3 linked regions of the Notamacropus eugenii genome follow. The protein of the gene in region 2 interacts with the protein of the main gene of each other region in a biochemical or structural test. Links are inferred from orthologs where the notes say so. Each region holds a gene or a part of one and is shown on either strand. Other genes may lie near its edges.

The links.
Region 1: the proteins of PEX19 (region 2) and ABCD1 form a complex in vitro, tested with the Homo sapiens proteins (3 studies listed by BioGRID and IntAct, with this or other methods). The link is inferred for Notamacropus eugenii from reciprocal best matches to the Homo sapiens genes PEX19 and ABCD1.
Region 3: the proteins of PEX19 (region 2) and ABCD2 form a complex in vitro, tested with the Homo sapiens proteins (3 studies listed by BioGRID and IntAct, with this or other methods). The link is inferred for Notamacropus eugenii from reciprocal best matches to the Homo sapiens genes PEX19 and ABCD2.

Annotation. Positions count from the first base shown.
Region 1 is NC_092879.1:22,531,498-22,539,225, forward strand, and holds the start of ABCD1 (ATP-binding cassette sub-family D member 1), read left to right. Parts: upstream 1-4,718; 5' UTR 4,719-4,844; coding exon 4,845-5,783; intron 5,784-7,728. Other genes in the region: BCAP31 (B-cell receptor-associated protein 31), read right to left, coding at 1,873-1,973, 2,470-2,561. UniProt on the Homo sapiens protein: ATP-dependent transporter of the ATP-binding cassette (ABC) family involved in the transport of very long chain fatty acid (VLCFA)-CoA from the cytosol to the peroxisome lumen.
Region 2 is NC_092873.1:385,304,552-385,311,886, reverse strand, and holds the start of PEX19 (peroxisomal biogenesis factor 19), read left to right. Parts: upstream 1-4,325; 5' UTR 4,326-7,011; coding exon 7,012-7,075; intron 7,076-7,335. UniProt on the Homo sapiens protein: Necessary for early peroxisomal biogenesis. Acts both as a cytosolic chaperone and as an import receptor for peroxisomal membrane proteins (PMPs).
Region 3 is NC_092874.1:212,092,226-212,099,949, reverse strand, and holds the start of ABCD2 (ATP-binding cassette sub-family D member 2), read right to left. Parts: upstream 3,011-7,724; 5' UTR 1-3,010.

The DNA of each region.
Region 1 (7,728 bases), on a different chromosome or scaffold from region 2:
GCCTAAGTTAGAGGATGAAAGCCCCAAAATGAAGTCCAATAGTCAAAGGATTTCATGTGTCATTATCTACCACATGGCCTAATTTTTCTCTAATCTTTCCCTACCACTATTTCCCCTTACCTAAGGGGTCCAATTAAATTTGCTAAGAAGTATCAACAGAGTGGAATGAGAACCCAAAGTAATTTGTTAATAAATGGCTCCCTCATCCACCTACCTCCCTTCAAACTTGGCCTCTGAATGACTTCAGAAGCAAAAGGAAGTCATCTCATCCAGTAGTCCCTGTTGAGATAGGTAGTAGGCCCAGAATGGATCTCCCATCAATTATTAGATATATAGTAATAAATAGCTATATTTTGTTGTTGTTCAGTCATTTCAGTTGTATCCTACTCTTTGTGACCCCATTTGACGTTTCCTTAGCAAAGAGTGGTTTGCCACTTCTTTCTCCAGCTCGTTTTACAGATGAATTTGCAAGGGAATGTTCTCTTTACACACACACACACACACACACACACACACACACACACACACTCTCTCTCTCTCTCTCTCTCTCTCTCTCTCTCTCTCTCTCTCTCTCTCTCTCTCTCTGTATGACCAAAGATAGCTTAGGATTCAACTGTCATTGCTGATGAATGGCAAGGGGGGCCGGGGGAATGAGAAAGACACAAGAAGGCTGAGTAAACTGCCTGAAGGTATCCAATCGAAGTGGGATCATAAAAGTAGAGTTGGGAATCAATAATCCAAGAACTGCCAAACCCTCGATAACCCCAGGAAGGGAGACTGTATCCTACACCCAGTTCATGTGGTTTTGAATTTCCAGGTCACTGTACTAACCAAAACCCATGAAGGCAAGAATATAGGAGTACATGTGGCATCTGGATTGAGATTGAGTCAAGAGTTCCCGAAGCTACCCCACCCTCCTCTCCAAAAAATCCTGGTCTCAAAATGGTCCAAGAACAACAGAGATACTCTTTTGCCACTACCTGACTCAAAACCTTGGTAGTGAGAGTACCCTGCTTAAAAGCAGCTACCTTACAAAATACTTCTAAGTCAATGTGAATCTATAGCCATCAGTATGGTAAACAAGCAGCTGGCATTGCACATGTTTGAATACTGATGTGTCACACCCATCTTGCTAAGATGCAACCTTGCCTGGACACATCTCCTTGAATCTTGTGAATTAAGCTGCCAAGCCCTAGGAAGACAAGTAGGATAGGGGCATACTATTGTTACAGCACGGAGGTTCTTCCCTGCTTGGACTAACGGGGAAACCTGAGACCAGTTAGAGAAGCCATTAAAGCTCTTTTGGAGCAGTGACATTTTCTTCACCCCAAGGTGGGGTGTGATTTGCTCCAAGTCCCAAAGCGGGTTAAGTGATCTAGGTTCTAGTCCCAGTGGCAACATCAGCTCCCAAGTCCAATGCTTTTTCTACTCTCATTCATTGCTTTTCTTGATTCTGTTGGGAAATTTACTTTTTTTTGCCTTTCTTTTGACATAGGCTCTTCAAGGATACAAAAAAATGGGACTCTGTTTACCTTTGCAACTTTTAATGGGCCTAGCTTGTTCAATCTCTGTACCTAAAACGTGGTTACCAGAAGAAGCTTGCTCAAGTCTGGGGTCCAGATCTGTTGGACCAGTGGCTAGAACCTGGTACTAATGCGAAGGCCAGGCATCCTGGAGACCATCCAAAGCATCTATGGATCAACAGTGCCATCCCTGTTTATGAAGAATATCAGAGGACAGATGCCTAAGATATGTACAATCTGGTAAGGGGGGTGAGACACAACTGTGAAAATTAGACAAATGGAAGAAATGGAATTGTGAGAGGTTCCTATTTGGGATACTGCTCACCACGACCACATCTCTGTCACTCACCAATGAGAAGCAGCACCAGGATAACAATGAGAACCACAAAGAAGGTGTTGCCATAGCTCACCACCAGTTGCACCAGGCGGGACTTAAAGATCTTCTGCCATCTAACGAGAAAGAAACAGAAGCTGGAGATACTCAAAGTACCCTGGGATCCCTCTCAGCCCCAGATACTTTCTCAACTTTCCAGTCTGGGGAGTCTGTGCACCTGGACCGACAATTGCTTAATTACAACAGACTGACACTTCTGGAGAGAAGTATTAGGTAAGTGTTAGAACTAAGGAGAATCAGCTTGCATAAGGACCCCCAACCTCCCACATCCACCTCCATCCTAGGAACCTGGCTGCACCGCAGACACCCAAAAGTGAAAGGGGAATGGGAAGAGAAATTGGGAGGATTTCATGTAGGTGAAACACTTTATCTAAAAAATATGAAAAGCAGATGGCTCTGCCTCCCTTTATGAAGAATCATTCCACTAGGGAAGCCCTGGAGGTCCTATCAATTAGCCACCAAACCTATACACGTAGGTCATGGGGCTCAGCATTGCACAATTCATCATAAAGGCACCTTGAGCTCTGAAGTTGATCACTCAATAGGCTGTACCTTTTGGGAGAAATGAAAGGAATGCAGAGCAGCAGCACAGCAAAGACCTCTGCATAGAGGAAGGTAGCAACCGCAGTCCACTGAAGACTCATCCTTAGTCACTAGTTGGTTTTGACCTGGAGGCAGAATAGACCAACCTCTGAAATGTCTGAAAAGATTTGAGGAAACACAGGCCATGAGAAAGGGGTGGAGGTGAGGAGCTGATCAATGAGCAACAAATTCTTGAAGAAACTGTGCTGATCCATACCTCACCAATCCTTCTTCTCAGCTTTAAAAACCATACTACGTTCCTTCAAACAGGAATTAAAACAAGCAAGTGAATTAAGCCACATTAACATAGCTGGGGGAACCTATCAACAACTTCTAAAGGACCAGGGGACCCCTTGGTTCTGGTAAATAAATTAATCTACTACATAATTTACTGAAGTCTTCAGAGTATGGGTTTTAAAAGCCCCAAACACATGAACAGACAGTGTGATTCACAGGACTACTATGTCCCTTAAACCAGGCACCCAAGTAGAATCTTGAGATGCCAGAAGTCAAAACTAACTGACTTCCGGTGGGAAAAGCACTAAAGAGGATGTGTTTGATTCCCAAAACAGGCACCTGAGTGACTCTGGGTAGGCCATTTAATCTCGCCGGGTTTTATTTTATTTTTCCAATTTGTATAATACAATAACAAATTAATAACGATAATAACCGCAGTCTCTATTTACATGGAGATATAAAGTTTTGCAAATCACTTCGCACAGATTTGGTAAAATGAATTAATTGGAGTAGATGACTTGGGCCCCTGCAAAGGAGAATCTGGAAATGGCTAGGTCTTCCAGATAGGCCAGAATAAGGTCCCCTTCTCTCCAAACAAGTAACCCTACTCCACCCCTCTGTTGGAACCTGATCAGGGCCCTCTGACTATGCAGCAGAAACCCTTCGCTCACGCCCTCACTAAATGCACCTCCTGACCAATTTTCCCCGGCACTCTGCGACAGATCTGGTTAGCTGGCAATGCCAGGACGCAGGCCTAGCTCCGCTCCCTGGGGCCGAAGGGGTCCTGCTCCCTTGGCAGCAGCCACCCCCACCGCCTGCGCGGCCTCGGCCGTCTCCCAGTACCCTACCCCCTCCCCGCCCAGGCATCGGGACGTCCCCTGTCCCCCCTCCTCTCCGGTCTTCAGCTCCACGCTCGTCCGAAGCGAGGGGGCCGCCACCTTCAGGGCCCGGTAGCTTCACGGGGGTCCTTTCCCTTAGTTCATGGCTCCCCCCTCAACTTCTGGCTGGCCCCCTGGCCGGGTCGGACCCGCCCTCTTCTCACCTGCGCGCCTCGGCACCACAGCCGTAAGATTTGAGTGCCCGAACTCAGTATTCTCCCACCCAAATTCCGCCCCTCAGCCTTGTGTCCACAGACCGGAAATCGGAAGTTGGAGGGTCAGGCCCCGCCTCCTGTGCAGTCTTCCACCAACCACCGCACCGCTTCCACCTACTGCTACAGCAGCCTCGGAGGGCAGGTAGGAAAGCGTGAGTGCGGGAATGCGCATGCCCAGGAAAGGGGCCAGAGGGCGCTCTCTACCGATGACGACACCCCTGAGGGCGGGGCCAGCCGGGGGTGGGAGGGGTGGGAAATGGCCTCTCTAGTCAACTGAGTCCTCCAATATCTCTATGATTTCGGAGGCGAGGCGGGGAGTAGCTAGAAGCGTGAGGTGGGCGGGGTCTCTGTAGCCCGCGGCGGCCGAAGCAGCTGCAGCTCCTCCTCCTCCTCCTCCTCCCCCCTCCCCATCTCGCTCGCCCCCGGGGAGGGGTGGGTGGGGATTATGGGCCGGTGGCGGAGTCACTGTCGCTCCAGTCTGGCTGAGGAGCGGTCGAGTTTGCTGTCCTGGGGAGGGGCCGCGCCCTGGGAGGAGGAGGAGGAGGAGGAGGAGGAGGAAGAAACAGAGGAGGAGGAAGAGAAGATAGCACTCCCTTCCCCGGCCCCCCTCCACCCCAAATCCTGACCCTACGTGGTCCACGGGGCTGTCTGGGGGTAGGGATCACTGACTGACTGAGGAGGGTGAAGAGGAGAGATAGAGACAGAGAGGAGAGAGCAGAGAGAGGAGAGACAAACTGGAGAGAGGAAAAGTGTAGAGACAGAAAGGAGTGACTGACACACAGACAGACTGAAAAGAGCCAGAGACATAGAGGAGGGACCCAAGATTGACAAAAGAGAGACCCAGATTGACAGGTACCTGCTTGGTTGCTAGGGCAACCACCTCAGTGGATGCCCTGTGGCACCCCTGGTTTCCTAGGAAACGGCCTAAGGGGCCTGCCCGCAAGGCCTTAGTTGCCCGGGTAACCTCCGCGGCCTCCGCTAGAAGCTCGGGTGCCCACCCTTCCAGGCGGGCGCCATGCAGGTGCTCTCGACGGCGCGGCCCTCCCGGGCGGCCTCCCTGCGGCGCCTGGCCGTGGTGCTGGCCCTGACGGCCTACGGGGCGCACAAGATCTACCCCCTGGTCCGCCAGTGCCTGGTGACGCCGCACCCGCGGGGCCCCCCGGGCCGGGCCGAGGCGGAGGCCCGCAGCGCCTCGGGCTCTTCGGCCGCCGGGGCCACGGGCAGTGGCGCCAGCGGCAGTACCAGCGCCAGCGCCAACCGCGAATTCTTGCGCCGGCTGCTGTGGCTGCTGCGGCTCCTGTTCCCCAAGGTCCTGTGCCGGGAGACCGCGCTCCTGGGCCTGCACACGGCGGCGCTGGTCAGCCGCACCTTCCTGTCCGTGTACGTGGCCCGCCTGGATGGCCGCCTGGCCCGCTGCATCGTGCGCAAGCAGCCGCGGGCCTTCAGCTGGCAGCTGCTGCAGTGGTTGCTCATCGCGCTGCCCGCCACCTTCGTGAACAGCGCCATCCGCTACCTGGAGGGCCGCCTGGCGCTGGCCTTCCGCAGCCGCCTCGTGGAGCACGCTTACCGCCTCTATTTCAGCCAGCAAACCTACTACCGAGTCAGCAACATGGACGGCCGCCTGCGCAACCCTGACCAGTCCCTCACTGAGGACGTGGTAGCCTTCGCTGCCTCAGTGGCCCACCTCTACTCCAACCTGACCAAGCCCTTGCTCGATGTGGCAGTGACCTCGTACACCCTGGTGCGCACAGCTCGCTCCCGGGGAGCCAGCACATCCTGGCCGTCGGCCATCGCAGGCCTGGTGGTCTTCCTCACGGCCAAGGTGCTTCGGGCCTGCTCCCCCAAATTCGGAGAGCTGGTGGCCGAGGAGGCCCGCCGCAAAGGGGAACTGCGCTACATGCACTCGAGAGTGGTGGCCAACTCGGAGGAGATTGCCTTCTACGGAGGCCACGAGGTGGGGAGCCATGGGGGATGTGGAGGATGACAGGGGAGACAGGGCCCACATTGGGGAAAGGCTTCAGTTGTCCAAGGAGTTGGTGGCAGAAATGAGGAAGGAAAGGGGGGAGGGGTATTGGGGTTAGTGGTGGAAGAGGAACCTAATGGGGAGGTGGGGGTTCAGACTTTGCGGTCGGGTGAAAAAAAGGGAGGTTTCAGGAAAGGTTGGAGATTGATGTAGGAGTATGTTGTGTGTGTGTGTGTGTGTGTGTGTGTGTGTGTGTGTGTGTGTGTGTGTGTGTGTGTGTGTAGGGGAAGTGTCCCTGGGGGTAGCACAGGGGAAGATCATGATGGTGAGGGGTTCTCTCCCAGCTCCATCTAAATTACAAACTGCTGCTTTCTTTGACACTTCTGTTTATTTTGTTCTCGAGACTGGCTGCCAGAAAATCTTAGCGGTTTCAGACTAGAGCATCCCATTCAAGTCTCTGCTTGTCTATCTTCATACCCGAGAGCCTCCCTGGCCCCCTCCAACCTTGTTCCTTGAGGTTCTTCCAGTCCTCCATGCTCTAGGGCAAGTTTCTCTTTGCCCAGAGCCCTACGAGGTCCCAGGGCTGGGTCTGTCTAACCTAATGACTGAGCTGGGAAGATGCCAAGGACTGGGAATGTATTCTCTGAGGACCAAGCTCTTGGCTTTCATGCTAAGGGGTGGGGAAGAAGAAATGCAGAGTCAGAGGCACTCAGAACCACAGAATGCAGGGCTTTCAAAGTTTGGGAAATCTGGGATGTTTTTGGTTCCAGTGGAAGGAGGAGGGCAGCTTGGGGCCAGGGAAAGGGGGAAATGGAGAACTGCCATTTGCCATGTGACTTGAGCTGGTTGAATCAAGACCCGGCTCCTTGATTGTCTGACCCCTCCCTATTCTCTGTTGTTGAAACCCAGGTAGCCCTCTGATGGGCCTCTGGAAGGCGGGGGTGTTCAAAGAATGACTCAGACCCAAGCTCGGTTAACAAGCGGCACCAGCAAAGACTGGCCATTTGGGATTAGGGGTCAGGTCTTTGCTGACCTCCTTCCTCGTCTCTAGGATCCAATACCAACATGGCTCCTTGCCTGCAAAGTTTCTCAGTCGGATTGGGGCCCCGTGCCTTCTCCCCCACCCCCCTTCCTCATTTCCTTGAAAAGGAGGGAATGAAGGGATGCTGAGATAACAGACCTAGTCGACAGAGATCACGGGGAAGTTGTGTAACTCCTGTTTGTCCTGGTCTCAGCTGCCAGTTTTCCCCTTGTATCCTTTCCTCCTCCCACACTCTACTGTATACCTATTTCCCCGCTAGGGAATTGGATACTTGAAGGCTATCTTGAGCTCATTTTTCCCACCCCCAGCAGGGCCCCTCGGGGGACTAGGCTGGTATGGGCCACTTCCTGCCCATGCTTCCCCACCAAGGGAGGGTGTCCGCCCTTCCGCAACCCTGGCCAAATCCCACTGTCCTCTCGGGGAGACCGCTCCCGGATCAGCCTTCTCCTGGCAGAGTCTGCCCCCGGCAAAAAGATCAGGAATAAGATCTGTTATGGTTTTCGCTGCCAGTGGCTAGGGCCTCTGGAATGTTCTAACGGGGTGGAATCAGCCTCTGCCTTAACTGCATAACCATGGGGCTCCGGGAGAGGTTACTCCGGGCCAACGCTCTCTTTATCACCTTCTCTTCCCTTCTTGGGGCTGGGGGCTTCATTGCGCAGGCGCCAACCTCCTTGTTTCACTTTCACCCTGTGCTGCAGAATGGGTATCTCCCCTGTCCCTCTGCCTGTTGACGTACTTTCACTTCGAGCTCTTAGTGGGAAGGGGCCCTAAAGGGGACGGTCTTTCTCCAAGATTCCTTTGTACTAAGCTGTGTAATTTGGGGAAACCTTTATCCCGATGTTTGTTCAGCAGGTGACACGTGGCTTGTGGGGGAAGTGTGTAATCGGGTAGGAG
Region 2 (7,335 bases):
AATCTCACCTCAGACACTTGACAGTGTGACCTTGGGCAAGTCACTTAACCCCAATTGCCTCATCCTGGGTCATCTCCAATCATCCTGATGAATTTCTGGTCACTAGATTCAGATGACTCTGGAGGAGAAGTGAGGCTGGAGACCTGCACAGCCCTCACTCACTCAAAATAAAGTCAAGTACAAGTCATGTCATTATTTCTCTGATGGCATGGTCTTCTTTGGCAACAAAGGATGAACATACACACGACATGACATGACATAACGTGCCCATAAAATACCAAGATAAGTCCCATTATTCAAAATAATGTCTGATAGGTGCCTTGTCCTTGACAGTCATAAACAGAAGAATGCTCTGTCAGCTTCATCCAGTCTTGTAGTTGCTAGGGTCACAACAAGTATCTGAGACTAGATTTGAACTTAAGAAGATCAGCCTTCCTGACTCCAAACCTGGCACTCTATCCACTGTGCCACGTAGCTATCTTCCTACTGCTCCTATCTCCTTTCACCTCATTCTTTACATGAAGGGTTGGCCCTTCTTTCCATGGCAAACCCTTCTATGTGCATCCTTGATTTCATATTCTCCTATCTTATCTAGTATATTGCGCCTCCTATTATTGCCTTCTCCCTAATCTTCATTCTCTCCCTGTCTACTGTCTTTTGCCCTCCTGCCTACAAATTAAGTTTTTCTTCCCTATATTTAAAAAAACATCATAATTATTCTCTCCTTTTCTTCTGTTTATTTATTGGTTGGTCAAAATGATATTTAAATAAATCTGGTTGGGGGAAAAATCTTTGCATTAAATAACTCTTGATAAAAGTCCGAAATACAGAAACTATAGAGAATTGACACAGATATATAAGATTCCTAATGGACAAATCATCAAAAAGTTTTTAAAAGAAGAAACACAAACTATCAGTGACCACGCAAAAATGTTCAAAGTCACTAAAAATCAGAGAAAGGCAAATTAAAATAATCATGAAGTTTCACCTCATATCTATTAAGTTAGCAAAGATGCTGAAATATGGAAAAATATTGTTCTAAAGATTGTTGGATCTGTGATTTGAATCAACTATTCTGGAAAATATGAGGAATTATTCAAGAAAAGTTACTGAATTGTTCATAACCTTTGGCCCATAGATCCCACTTCTGGGATCATGTTGTTCTGTCTTTTTGGTCATGTCCAACTTCATGACCCCATTTGAGGTTTTCTTGGCAAAGATATTGAAGTGGTTTGCCATTTTCCTCTACAGATAATTTTATAGATGAGGAAACTGAGGCAAACAGTTAAGTGACTTGCCCAGCTAGTAAGTATCTGAGGCCAGATTTGAACTCATGAAGATGAGTCTTGCTGATTCCAAGCCAAGTGCTGTACCCACTATACCAGCTACCTGATCTCCTAGATTATATTTCAACAATAATGATAGAAAGTCTATACATTAAAAAAAAATGCTTATAGAAGCATTACCTGTGACAACCTGGAATCAAAATATGTGCCCAACAGCTGGGGAAAAGCTGGTATGTATATGCAATAGAATATTACAATACCATAAAAAAAATTGTGAAAATGAGAAATTTAGAGAAACACAAGACTTACATGAAGAAAGCAGAGCCAAAGGAAGTGTACATAATGCCTACAACAATAAACCAAGAAAAAGCAAAATAAGTCAGATTCGGTGGCCAATACTGGTGCCAACAAGTCATATTGATGAGATCCTTAGGCAAGTATCTAAGGCCTTCCACAGTTTGGGTCCAATTTTTAACTGTATTTCATTCATAGGATTCCCTTTCATATAGCTTTGATGATTTTGTGCATTCACATAAGCCAACCAATGCCTATAATTGTCTTCACAATTCCTTTTACATTTTCATTTGTAAAAATCTTGTTCTTCTATCAAGACTCTACACACCGGTAACATCAATGATGTTTCTCATTGAAGCAAAGTATTTTCTCTCTACTCAAACTTTTCCAGAGCACTTGAGATCCCTCTTTTGCTCCCATTACACCCACCTTGTATTACACTTATCTGACTACAAGTCTTTAAACTCTCTCAGAGACAAGGTAAGTTCCATCTGTTATCATTTCTTTGTTGGATTCATTTATTCTATTTATTTCCTCTTCTATTTGTGCCTAGCCTAAGATGAATAAAAATCCTACCATTCTGTCAACATAGTATCCTATATCTCCTCCCTTTCTCAGTCCAGCTTCTAGAATCTAGATAAAGCTGTTTATGCTCAGTACCTCCACTTCCCTTCCTTTCACTTTTTTTCTTAACTCTGCATCCTGATTTCTGATGTCATAACTCAGCTGAAAGTGCTTCCTCCAAAGTTACCAATGATCTCTTGATTGCCAAACTCAATGCTTTTTATTCAATACTCATTCTTCTTGACCTCTCCATGGCACCTGACCCTACTGAACACCCTCTTCTGGATGCTTCTCTCTGGATTTTGGGACTGTTTTCTCTTGGTTCTACTCCTCCCCACATGACCACTCCTTATTTTCCTTTGCGGGACTATCATGCATATCACCCCCTCACTCCCACCCCCTAATCCTGGCCTTCTTCTCTTTTCTCTCTTGACTCTCACTTGGTGACTTGATCAGCTGCCATGGGATCAATTATTATCTCTATCCCTGGGAATCATTTTTATGATTCCCATATCTATTTATCCAATCCTATTCTCTCTTCTGAGCTCCAGCCTCACATTATCAACTACCTATTAGATGTTTCTCACTGGATGTTCAATGAGCATCTCAAACTCTGCATGTCCCACCTGAGGCTCAGATTTTCCTCAGACCAGCCTCTTTCAACACTTCTCTATTTCTGTAGAGGACACCAGCATCCTTCCAGGCTCCCAGACTCTCAGTTTTGTAGTAACAGTCATACTACTAAGCTCGGTATCATCCCCCCACTCTTACCTCATACAGTTGTTCAGTTATCAGATCTTGTCCTGTCTATCTCCACAACATCTCTTAAATTCATCCCCTTCTCTCTACTCTATCACCACCCTAGTTCAGAGCCTCTAGTTGTACATTCATTCACTCATACCCCCAACTCACCTGGTCTTGGGGGGAGGGCATCAGAATATTCCTTGCTCCCCCCATTGCCACTTCCAAACTCTCTCTGCCACTATAACTCAACAACATCTTCTTTCATTTTTTATCCAAATTTATCATACAATCTAGATGCTAGTGGCTTTTATCAATTAACAACAACAGCTAACATTTATATAGAGCTTACTATGTGTCAGGAACTGTGCTAAAAGCTTTACAATTATTATCTTATTTAATCCTCACAACAACTCTGTGAGATAGGTGCTATTATCATCCCCATTTTACAGGTGAGGAAACTGAGGCAAATGTGACTTGCCTAGGGTCATACAGCTAATAAATATCTGGGGTGAAATTTGAACTCAGGTCTTCCTGACTTCAGGCTTGGTACTCTATTAACTGCTCCACAATATTATCCTTTCTTCATTAATGAGTTCTGTGGCTGGCTCAAAATCTTTCTCTCCACCCTACTCCTCACACTGGGAACTTATTCATACTAGTGCTCTCTCAAATACCCTAATTTCCAAGTTCTTCAATCTATTTAGTTCCCATGACTACTCTCACTGGTGATATTACCAGATCTCATGAATTTGATCATCATCTCTAGGTAGATGATCCCCAGTTCTATTTATTCAGCCCTTCTCTCTCCCTTAGGCTATATATAGTTTTTCATTAGCAGCCATCTTTGGGGCATCTCAAATTGGATGTCCTGTAGGTATCTCAAGTTCAACATGTCCAAGAGAGAACTCATCATTTCTCCTAAACCCTCTTCTGAACTTCTCTATTTTTTCACTCAGTAAAATTCTGCCCTCTCTTCCTCTCATCCCACGCCTACTCCCTATTAAGAATCAAAGGGAAACAAAACCCCTATCACAAACATCTGTGGTCAAGTACAACAAATTTCAGCATTGGCTAGGTCTTAAAGAAAAAAAAAAGTGTGTGTATGCACACGCACATATAAATACACACACATATGTCTGCATATATACATGTATATCTGTCCCATTCTGCAACTTTCACTTCTTATCAAGAGTTGTATAGTATGTTTCATCATCGGTTCTCTAGAACTGTTTATTTGTTACATTGTTCAGAGTTCCTAACTCTTTCAAAGCTGTTTATTTCTACTATATTGTTATCACTGTACAAATTGTTCTGGTTCTAATCACTTCACTATGCATCAGTTCAGGTGGCACAGTGAATAGAACATTGCAATAGCCTGCTAGTGGTTCTACCTGACGTCCCTCCCTATTCCAATCCATTGTCCATTTAGTCACCAAAGTAATTTCCCTAAATTATTCTCCTACTCAGTAAACCCCAGTAGCTCTTTATTGCCTCCAGAATCATACAAAATGCTCTGTTTGGTATTCAAAGACTTCAACACCTAGCCATATCCAAACTTCCCAGTCTTCTTACACGTTACTCCCCAGGCAGTACCTGGCAGGAACTCATCACTCCAGAATCCAGTGAAACTTCCTTCTGTGCTATTTCCATCCCTCTGCTCCAAGCATTTTCTCTACTGTCTCCCAACCCTGGAAAACACTGCTTCCTCAATTCTGACTGCTGATTCCCCTGGTTTCTTTTATGTCTCACCTAAAATCTCATCTTTTATAAGAAGTCTTTCACAATCTCTAATTTCCTATTTTTCTTGTGTATCAACTATAGATTTGTATAGCTTTGTTTGCATATTGTCTTAGCCCTATGAATTGTAAGCTCCTTTAGGGTAGAGAACTCTTTTTTTTGCTTCTTTTTGTATCCTCAGCACTTTTCACAGTGCCTAGCACATAGTAGGTGCTTACAAATATTGATCGATTAATTGGTTGATTGAGCTGCTGATCTTGCACATTGCTCTTTAGGGTTCAGCTGCTGATAAATTCAGGTATGGACTCCAATTCCAACATCTGAGATCTCACAAGGTTGAAACTTAGACCATTCCGTTTCCAATACTCATACACTTAAGAGCAGGAAAGCAAAAAAAATACAAAGGCAAAAAACCAGATACATCATATTCACAGCACATGCTAACCCAAGCTATGTATGTCTGAGTGTGGGGGGGGGGGGAGGAAGTGTTGGAGATAGGGAATGGGCAGCAGGAGGCTGCTGAGGACATGGCTATCATGTGACATCACCTCCATAATGTCATGATTCTCTTCCAGAACAAGGAACAAACAACATGTCCCATCCAAACAAAGGCTCACAAAGTACTCCATGACTTGAGCATCACGAGGAAAGGCTAATGTCCATTTGGTCATTTGGTGCCTTTTGAATGTACATTCAACAGCTCAGCAGTCAAAATCAAATGGTGTTTTCTTCACTGGTGGTAAATGGATGGGAAATAATCATAGAATACCTGTATATTCCCTCTGCTCCAGATCTTCAGAAACTTCCAGAAGCCAGCTCACCAAATCCCTGCATCTGCGCGTTATTGGGCCCTCATTGACCAGTGCCCTGCCACTTCAGATGGATTTTGTAGGTATGAATGTTTACGCCTTAAGTGTAGGATCTATTTCAGTTTTGTTTCTATCACCTTTAGCATGTAGCAAAGTGCCTGATGTTATTAAGTAGGAACTTAATAATGGTTGTTTGTTGATTAATAGTGGATATAAGGCTTGCCTTGTCAGCAAGATCTGGGTTAATGTTTTCCTTCTGACACATACTGTGGGTAATGTGGGTAAGATGCTTAACTCTCAATGCTAGACAATTCTATAAAACTTGTAAATTACAGAGGAATTGAGAATGTGTATTTGTGAAGAAAGTTTCTGCACAAGGATGAAATCACAAGCTAAAAAAAATTCAGTTCAATTCAATAAGCATTCAATAAACACATACTACGTGCAAGGTTCTAAACAAGGTATGGTAGCTTCAAAGGCAAATGAACAAAAAAAAACCACTCAAACCCAACTAGTCCCTTCAATCAAGAAGTTTAAATTGTGTTACGGTGGAAGCTATTAAATACAGGTGAGAAATGATGAAGGGGTGATGAGGGCCTGAATTGTGTGAATGGAGGGGGGGTGCATATAAAAGAAAAGAGTCCAATAGGACCGATTTTTTGAAATGTTCTTTGACAAACAGAGCATACACAGAACATAAAATATGTTGATGGGCTAAGCAGTTGAGTGGGTATGTGGGTTAACCTGTTGTTATTAATTTCAACTGATGAAAGGATGAATTCTAGTGTAAAATTTGAAGGTACCTAATAAATGGGTAAGTGAGGAGAGGCAGGAGAAAGATTTGACTTCGAATAATACATAGGATTCCCAAGCACTCGTTTTTTTTGTCTGTAGGGTTACAGGCTAATTCGTAGGCTCAAGTCAACACACATCCATTAAAAATGTGAAGTTACACATTGTCCAAAGTTTTTGAGAGTCACAAGACGTTTTCCTTGCAACAGCACTGTAAGGTAGGCAATGCAGAGCAGCAGGAACTGCATTTTGTGGATGAGGTCGGGCGACGCTCGCAGGGACACAGGAGGCGTCGTGTCTCCGCTGGCTGCAAGTCCCACATTCTTTCCGCTGCGGAAAACGCAAAGATAGCTCCTGTGGCAGGGCTTGCGATCTGAAGGGACAGAACCTGAACAGAACAGCTCGTACGAGCCAGCCCGTAGCGAGTTCAAGGGAAGGTACAACGCTTTAACAACGTGAGGAAAGGTCGTCACCGGGTCTCGGGGAAGCCTTCTTGGAGCACAGTACCTGAACTGGGCTTTGAAGGCGTTTCCACAGGTGGGCCTCGCGGCAGCGAAAGCACGAGCGCGGGGGCGGGGAAGACGGGCGCCCCGTCCGGCAGGAGGAGCAGGGGGTGGTCCGCAGGAAGAGAGAAATGAGGTCATCTGTCTCTTTAAAAATGGCGGTGCCCGGCCTGCCTCTCTCCCCATTGGCTGCGCGAGGCCGAAGAACAGCGGGTAGGAAGCGGGGAGCACGTGGTAGGAAGACGGGAGCCCGAGCTTCTACGGCAAGTCCAAGGGAGCAAGATGGCCGCGGCGGAGGAAGAGAACGCGTCGGGCACCGACCCGGAGATGGACGAGCTTCTGGAAAGTAAGGGCCGGACTGGGGACCCCGAGAGGCCAGAGGGCCCGTGGTCCTGGGCGTGGAGGGGGACGAAAAGCGCAGACGCTGGCGCTGGGGGGGGGCGTCTTTCTCCTCAGGGGCCACCCCGCTCAGGTCGGGGGTCTGCCGCGAGGAGGGGCCGTCAACCCCCGGCGTGGGGGGACGGCAAGGTGCGGCGGACAGCCTCGGGAGCCCAGGACGTGGTCCCAGCCGCCCCCCACAGTGCGCTTGGTGAAGCCAGTTCTCTT
Region 3 (7,724 bases), on a different chromosome or scaffold from region 2:
TTTGAGATTTTTTGAGAATTTATTTTGTAGGCTACAACTTTGCTAAAGCTATTGTCTCAATGAGTACCTTTGCTGATTCCCTAGATTTTTCCAAGAAAATTATATTATCAGCAAACAAGGAGAGTTTTATCTTCTTTTTTTACCTATCTTTATGCTTTTAGTTTCTCTTCTTATTGCTGTTACTAGCAATTATAGAACTATATCAAATAATAGTGAGGAGAGCAGAAATCTTTGCTTCACTCCCATATTTATTGGAAAAGGTTCTAGTGAATACCCCTTACATATGATTCTTGGTTTCAGTTTTAGAGAGATGTTTTTTATATTTTAAAAATGTCCCCCTATGCCTATACTTTAAAGGTTGTTTTTTTTGTTTTGTTTTGTTTTTTGTTTCAAATAAAGAATTATTGTACTTCATCAAAGGCTTTTTTTGCATCTTTTGAGATTATTATATGGATTTGCATGTTTTGGTTTTTCATATGATTAGTTATGTTGAATTGTTTTCTTAATGTTAAACCATCTTTCCATCCCTGACATAAATCCCACTTGGTAATAATGAATGAGTTCTTGAATAAATCATTATAGTCTGACAGGATTCTGTTTAACAATTTGAGGGTCAATGTTCATTGTTGGCCTATGGTTTTCTTTCTGTATTTTTATTTTTCCCCATTTTATATGTTAGGAATATATTTGTATTATATGATGATTCTGATAAGATGTTTTCTTTCTCAATTTTTGAGAATAATTTTTGAAGTCCAGTTACTAAATGCTATTTAAAAGTTTGATAGAATTCTCCTTTTCTGAGATTCACTTATCTAAGTTCTCTATCTCATCTTCTGATAGTGCAATTATTTTATATTTTTGAAGCTATTCCTCTGTGTCTTTCATGTTCTGTTTTGTTAGCATGTAACTGTTTTGATTTTTTTTGTTTCACCTGGCTTAGCTATGATTTTACTTTCCTTATTCGATATTTTATTAATTTGATTTTCTGCTTTTCTTTTTAATCAGATTAACTCAGTGTTTATCAATTTTATTAGTCTTTTCAAAGAATCAGGCTTTAGTTTTATTAATCATTTCTATGGTTATTTGTTGTTAATAATTTACATATTTCTTCTTTAATTTTTAATATCCTTTGTCCTTATTTTAGGTTTATTTGTTGGTTTTCTAATTTTTTATGCACATTTACTTCATGAACCCTCTCTTTTTCTATTTTGTTATTTTATGTTTGTAAAGGTATCATTTTTCCCTAGTGACTGTTAGTTGCATCACAGAAATTTTGATATGTTGTTTCATCATTATAATTTTATTATTCATTGTTCCAATGATTTTGTTCTTTGACTCACTTGTTCTTTAGAATTTCATTATTAAGTCTCCATTTGGTCTGTATCTTTTGTTTGTGGTCCCTGAAATGATTACTGTTGTATTGCATTATGGTTTACAAAGGAGGTATTAACCATTTCTGCCTTTTAATATGTATTTACACTGTCTCTGTGCCTTTGCACATGGCAAATTTTTGTAGAAGTTTAATGTGGGGTGATAAATATGCATATTCTTTTGTAGGACCATTTAAAAGATCCCATAAATTTTATAATTCTAGTTTCTCCTATAATTTACTCCTTTCTGAATTTGTGTTTTTGTCATTTTTCTGTTAGACTTATCCAAAACTGAAAGAAGTATATTGAAATCACCTGTCAGTATTGTGTTACTGTCCATATATTCTTATAGCTCAGTTAATGTTTTTTTTAAGGATTTGGATGCTAAGGCATTTATAGCATGTAAGTTCATTACTGATACTGGTTTGTTGTCTATTGCATTGTTCATTTCAGCATAATGTAGGTTTTTTGTTTATAACTTTTTATTTTTTGAATGTTTGTTTTTGCTTTTTAATATAGTATGATGGCAAATCCTGCCTTTTTTAGATTCATTTGACGTATAGTAAATTTTTCTATTCCCTCAATTTTATTTTTGTGTATATCTTTCTTTAGTAAAATATTTTTAATGAGAAAACAGATTGTAGGGTTTTGTTTTCTTATCAAACCTATAACTTTTTCATTGTGTTGGATTGTTTACTCCATTTACATTTAAAGTTATGAGAATCTGATTTGTATTTTTCTCCTTTTCTAATAAAAGTTATGATTTTTCCCCTCTTCTGTAATAATTACAATACTGTGGTCCTTAAGTTATTTTACTTTAATTTTTTTAAGGTGCCTGAGTTTCCACTGAGATTTTTGTTCATCCCTGATACCCTCCTCTAATTTGTTAACACTTTCTTGTTTTGCATATTAATTTTTTTCCTTTCCTGCTTTTATCTGTTTATATAATTCCTCCTTTCTCTTCTTAGTCAAGTAGATTTGCCATTCTTTTCCTCCTCCTTCAACTAGTCTTATTTCTTAGGGTTTTTTATTTCATTTTTGCACCCATTTTCTAAAAGGATTCCTCTCTCTTCAATATCCATTTCTCTTTTTTGTCTGCTCTAGACCATCATTCTCTGTTTCATGATCATGATAATTACCTATCCTCTCTCTTTTCTCTGTATTTCTCATGTGACCAAAGCTTTCAAGAGAATCATTTTACTTCTAGGCACTTTCTAAAATGGTAGAACTCACCCATAGATTCCCCTTTTCCACTGTACCTGTCTCCCAGAACAATGTCAAATATTTCAGGTGTCAGAGAGGACACTGTTCCACAGTAGGGTCCTTCCCCCTTTACATCACTCATTATGCAGTCCACTATTACTCTATAGTCTGTTCTACTTGCCTTCTTTCTCCATTTGCCTCAAAATTTCCTTCCTGGACCCATGCTTCCTCATTCCCCCAAGTACCTTTTTTCCAGGAATCTTGACTCCCCCATACCCAAGATAGAACATGTAGACTTTTCAAGCACCACATCCATCAGGACACATCCAGTACAAGGTCTCCATCTCCCTTCACAAACAAACTCTCTTCAGTCATAGGAGCATTTATCAGTGGAACTCCCTTTTCAATCATTTCCTTATCCTTACTATTCCCTTGGAGGCTGAGACCACAGGGGTCAACTTCCCCCCATTGCTAGCCCTTGATTTAAACCTAGCGTATCACTTTCTCCTCTCTTTTCCCCTGCTTCCCTCCCTCTCGCCCACCCTCCCATTTCACATACCTTCCCATAATGTAATGTAGTCCCACAAAAGAAGCATTAATCTATAGGCAGGATATCCACAATGCTCCATACCCACCTCTGCCTTTACCACTTTCTCTTTTTACACATATAGAAAGAAATTTCTTACTGGTTTTTCTACTTTCACTCTGTTGCTCTTGCCATCCTTGATTGTTTCACTTATTCACTTCTCCTGCATTTCTATTTTTTGAGGTATTTGAAAAGCAAATAATCCCTTCAGTTCTGGTTTCCTTGCTAAAAATGTTTCAACTGCCTCTTTATTATTGAATGCCTGTTTTTTTTCATGTGTGATTGAATTTAAAATTGCAGGGTAGGTCACCTTGTGCTGAATCTTGAGCTCCACTGCTCTTAAGAACATATTATTCCATTCTCCTGTTTTCTAGTGGGGGCAGAATAGTCTTCTTTTGTTCAAATTTTCTTTCCTTTTCATTTCAAAGTCTTTATCAAAATCCTTTTTAAATTTAACCAATTTGTGTTTGCAGCCTTGATTTTTTTTTTCTGGCAGTTATCTGTGAATTCTCTCAATTGGTATTTCATTTTCTATATTCAGAAGCTCTGGGAAATCAATCAACACCTATTAAGCAACTACTACGTACCAAGCACTGTCCTGAGCACTGAGGAATACGAAGAGGCAAAAGACAGTCATGACCCTCAAGGAGCTCATAGTCTAGTCACATTCAAATAAACATATACAAACAAGCTATGTTACAGGATAAAAAGAAAACAATTAACAGAGGGAAGGAACCAGAATTAAAAGGGTTTATAAAAGATAGAATTTTAGTTGAAACTTTAAAAAAAGCCAGAGAAAGAAGCCAGGATGCAGAGTTAAGGAGGGAAGTGTTTTAGACAGAGAGGACAGTCTTAGAAAATGTCCAGAACTGAGAGGGAGTTCACAGAAGAGCCAGGGGGCCAGAGTCACTGTATCCAAAAGTTCATGTTGGGGAGTAAGGTGTAAGGAGACTAGAAAGATAGATTATAAAAGGTTTTGAATGCTAAAAAGAGGTTTCTGTATTTGATTCTGGAGGTGATAGAAAGCTACTAGAGTTTATTGAGAAAAGGTGTGGCATGGTCCTATCTGCACTTTGAGGAAAATCACATTGATGATATTGGTGAATGGAGGATGATTTGGAGCAGGGAAAGATAGTCAGGCAGACGCATTGCCAGGCTATTACAATAGTCCAGGTGTAAGCTGATGAAGGTTTGCATTACAGTGTTAGCAGTAACTGAGAATAGAAGGAGGTAAATATAATTGATGTGAAAAGGTGAAATTTACAGGCCTTGGCAACAAATTGGATATGATAGGTGACAGTGCAGACTTGAGGATGGCTTTTAGGTTGCAAGCCTGAGGAATGGGAGATTGATGTTGCCTTCTATGGTAATAGGGAAGATGGAAGCAGGAGAGTTTTTAGGGAGAATAATGAGTTCTGCTTTGGATATATTTAGTTTAAGATTTCTACTAGACATCCAGTTTGTAAGGTTTAAAAGATAGTTGGAGACGTAAGATTAGAGGTCAACAGAGAGGTTGGGGCAGGATAAGTAAATTTATGAATCATCAGCATAGAGATAGTAGTTAAGTACATGGGAACTGACAACATGACCAAATGAAGCAGGATATAGGAGAAAGAGAAAAGGATCCAGGAAAGAGCCTTGAGGGACACCTATGGTTAAAAGGCATGAACTGGAGGAGGATCTAGCAGAGCAGTGCCAAATTAAGGAGGCATAGATATTAACAGGGTGATGGGTGAAATCTGAAATAACTGAGGAAACAAAGGCCTGAGCTTCCAAGTATATCAGTTTATTAAGCAATGCATGGCAATTGCATAACAATTTAGAACCAGGCCTTCTTAATTTCACCCTGGACCCCAAATACAGGAGCAAACAGATTTTTATCTGTTAAAAGCAAACAACAGTATATAAAACAGGGCACAAGATTAGGTCACCTGATTTCTAATTGGAGGAAAGATTAGGGACTTTCCTTGTTGAATGAATTTCAAAACTTGGGAGCAGGGAGAGTGAACAGGTGCAATTCCCTGAAATCAGAAAAAGAGCTGTCCCACTGCCCTCCAAGTGTCTGTATGTAATCAAATAAACAAAGAAACAGTAACTGAGTCACCAGTACAGGGCCAGTTTGCAGATAAGGCATAGGTTGCTTGAGATGTACAACTGTGAGAAAACTCCTTGCATCAGTCTTTGGATCTGACTGGATTTCTGGTGAGCATTACCAGGTCCTTAGTTAAGGGTCTGAAAACAACAGGTAGTGGTACCCATGCAGGGGGTTAGGCTCAAATAACATAATGAGATTTTCTGCACAATTAAATTAAGTTTTCTTACAAGAAAGAAAGTGGACTAGACCCACAATTGAATATGGAAAAGGAATTTAGATCTAGAGTTAAATCATAAGATGGAGTCAGTGTGGTTCACTTAATGCTTATAATTCCTTCAATAATGATAGGCCAATGAATTCTGAGGGACAGTTTTGTTGCATTTCAGAGAAAACTAACCTAATCCATGTTGTGGGCAAAGGGAAAATCGCTGAAATAGTTCTATAACACACCACCCCATGATGACAAGGTTCTAAGAATCTTCTAGAGAGATCATTAGAAGGAATGAGTTTTAGATCTCAATGGTATGGTCAACACGGTGGTTATGTCAAAATCTTTGCAGTTTCAGTGGTTCTTCTGATGCAAGGCAAAGACAATGGACAGAAGCAGCATCATGAACAGAAGAGAGGATGATACTTCCAGCATAGTCAACAATTCTTCATAGTCAGGATCATCTGTAATGAAGTGATTGAAGTCATAAGCCTCTGACTTGTAGTAAGTTGCCCCATTATGTTATGTGTGTTCACAGGGCAGATAGGTGGTGCAGTGGATAGAGAACCAGTACAGGAATCAGGAGGACCTGAGTTCAAATCTCACCTCAGACACGACACTCAGTAGCTGTGTGACCTTGAGCAAGTCACTTATCCCCAGTTCCCTCATCTTGGGTCCTCTCCAGTCATCCTGATGGATATCTGGTCACTGGATTAAGATGGCTCTGGAGGAGAAGTGAGGCTAGAGCCCTGCACAGCCTTCCCTCACTCAAAAAACAAAGTCAAGTGCAAGTCATGTCATTATTTCTCTGATGTCATGGTCTTCTTTGGCAATGAAGGATGAACACACATGTGTGTTCACATGGGTCTGTCTAGATAAGATTCCCAGGGTACTATAGATAGAAATATCTAGAGTGTCTGTAGCTTAGCCTTATCAAGGTCAAGGGAGATTCTTAACTCATGCCAGGCAAGGAGGAAGAGACTGGGGCCATGAGGCTGACCATTCTGCTCTCCTCAGAGAGAGACAGAATACTAGGCTATCTGAAGGAGAAAGACCTTGAGACCTCAGTGACTCTGTAACATGGAAGAAACAACAAATATAGAGAGAATCAGATAAAACTGTTCCCCCAAACAGTCTTTTTTTTAAAAAAATCAGGTAAGTCTTTCAGAAGACTAGATACAAGAAACTGCTAACCTGGATAGGCTTTCCCCTTCCTAGGGCAGCCCAAAACAGACCACAGTCTTGGAGAATCTAAAACAAGCTAGCCATCAGTTTCCATCAGGATACCCCACGTGGAAAATGTGAGTTTGCCAAAACCTGAAAAATCTAATGAAATTTATTTTTTCTTAAAATATGGAAGATAGAGCTCTTCTGGGGGCCAAGTTGGTGGAGTAAGCAGGAAATAGCCTTAATACTCCCATATTCACCTCTAAACATCAATAAAACAGTGCCCCAAAATGAATCCTAGAAGAGCAGAACCAGCAAAAAGACAGGGTGAAAACAATCTCCAAGCCCAAGAAACTTGGAAGGTCAACAGAAAGGATCTGTCTCACTCAGGTAAAAGAGTAGTGCAGTCCAGGACAGGAAGCATCCTGGGAAGCTAGAAGCAAGCCTGCCTTAGCCAACTAGCAGGAGGTCCTAATCCTCAGTGGGGTGAAGCAGGCAAATGCCAACATCAGGACTCCAAAATGACTTGACATAGTAAGGCTAATGGGCAGACACCAGCACTGAGGCTGCCAAGAGCTTCAGTGTAGCCCCCAGCAAACAGGCAGATGTCAGTGCTAGGACCCACCCACATCCCTCAGTACACCTGGACCTTGCATGTGCTAAGGAAACAGGCAAAGGCTAGCATCAGGACCCATCATGTAACCCAGCATAGCCAAGCAAACAGGCAGATTCCAGCAATGGAAATCTCAGTAGGCCTCACACAGGCAGATATCAGCACTGGAACCCCACCTCAGCACCAGGTAAGCTGCCAGAACCCTTTGGCCTCCAACAGCACCAGCCACCCCATACATCACCCCCCCAGCACAACACCAGACACAAGGATCCATGTGGACCTCAGAACAACATCAGTGCAGCACCAGATAAAAAACCAGGGCCTCCAACCCCTGGCACAAGAAGCTTGGAATAGAGCCCTTACACCACAGATGCAGAGCTTAAATTTTAAAGTAAGGGAAAAGGCTATAAAAGATGAGCAAAAATCAACAAAAAAAGAATCTGACCATAGAGAATTATTATGGCGAATTTATGATCAAACAA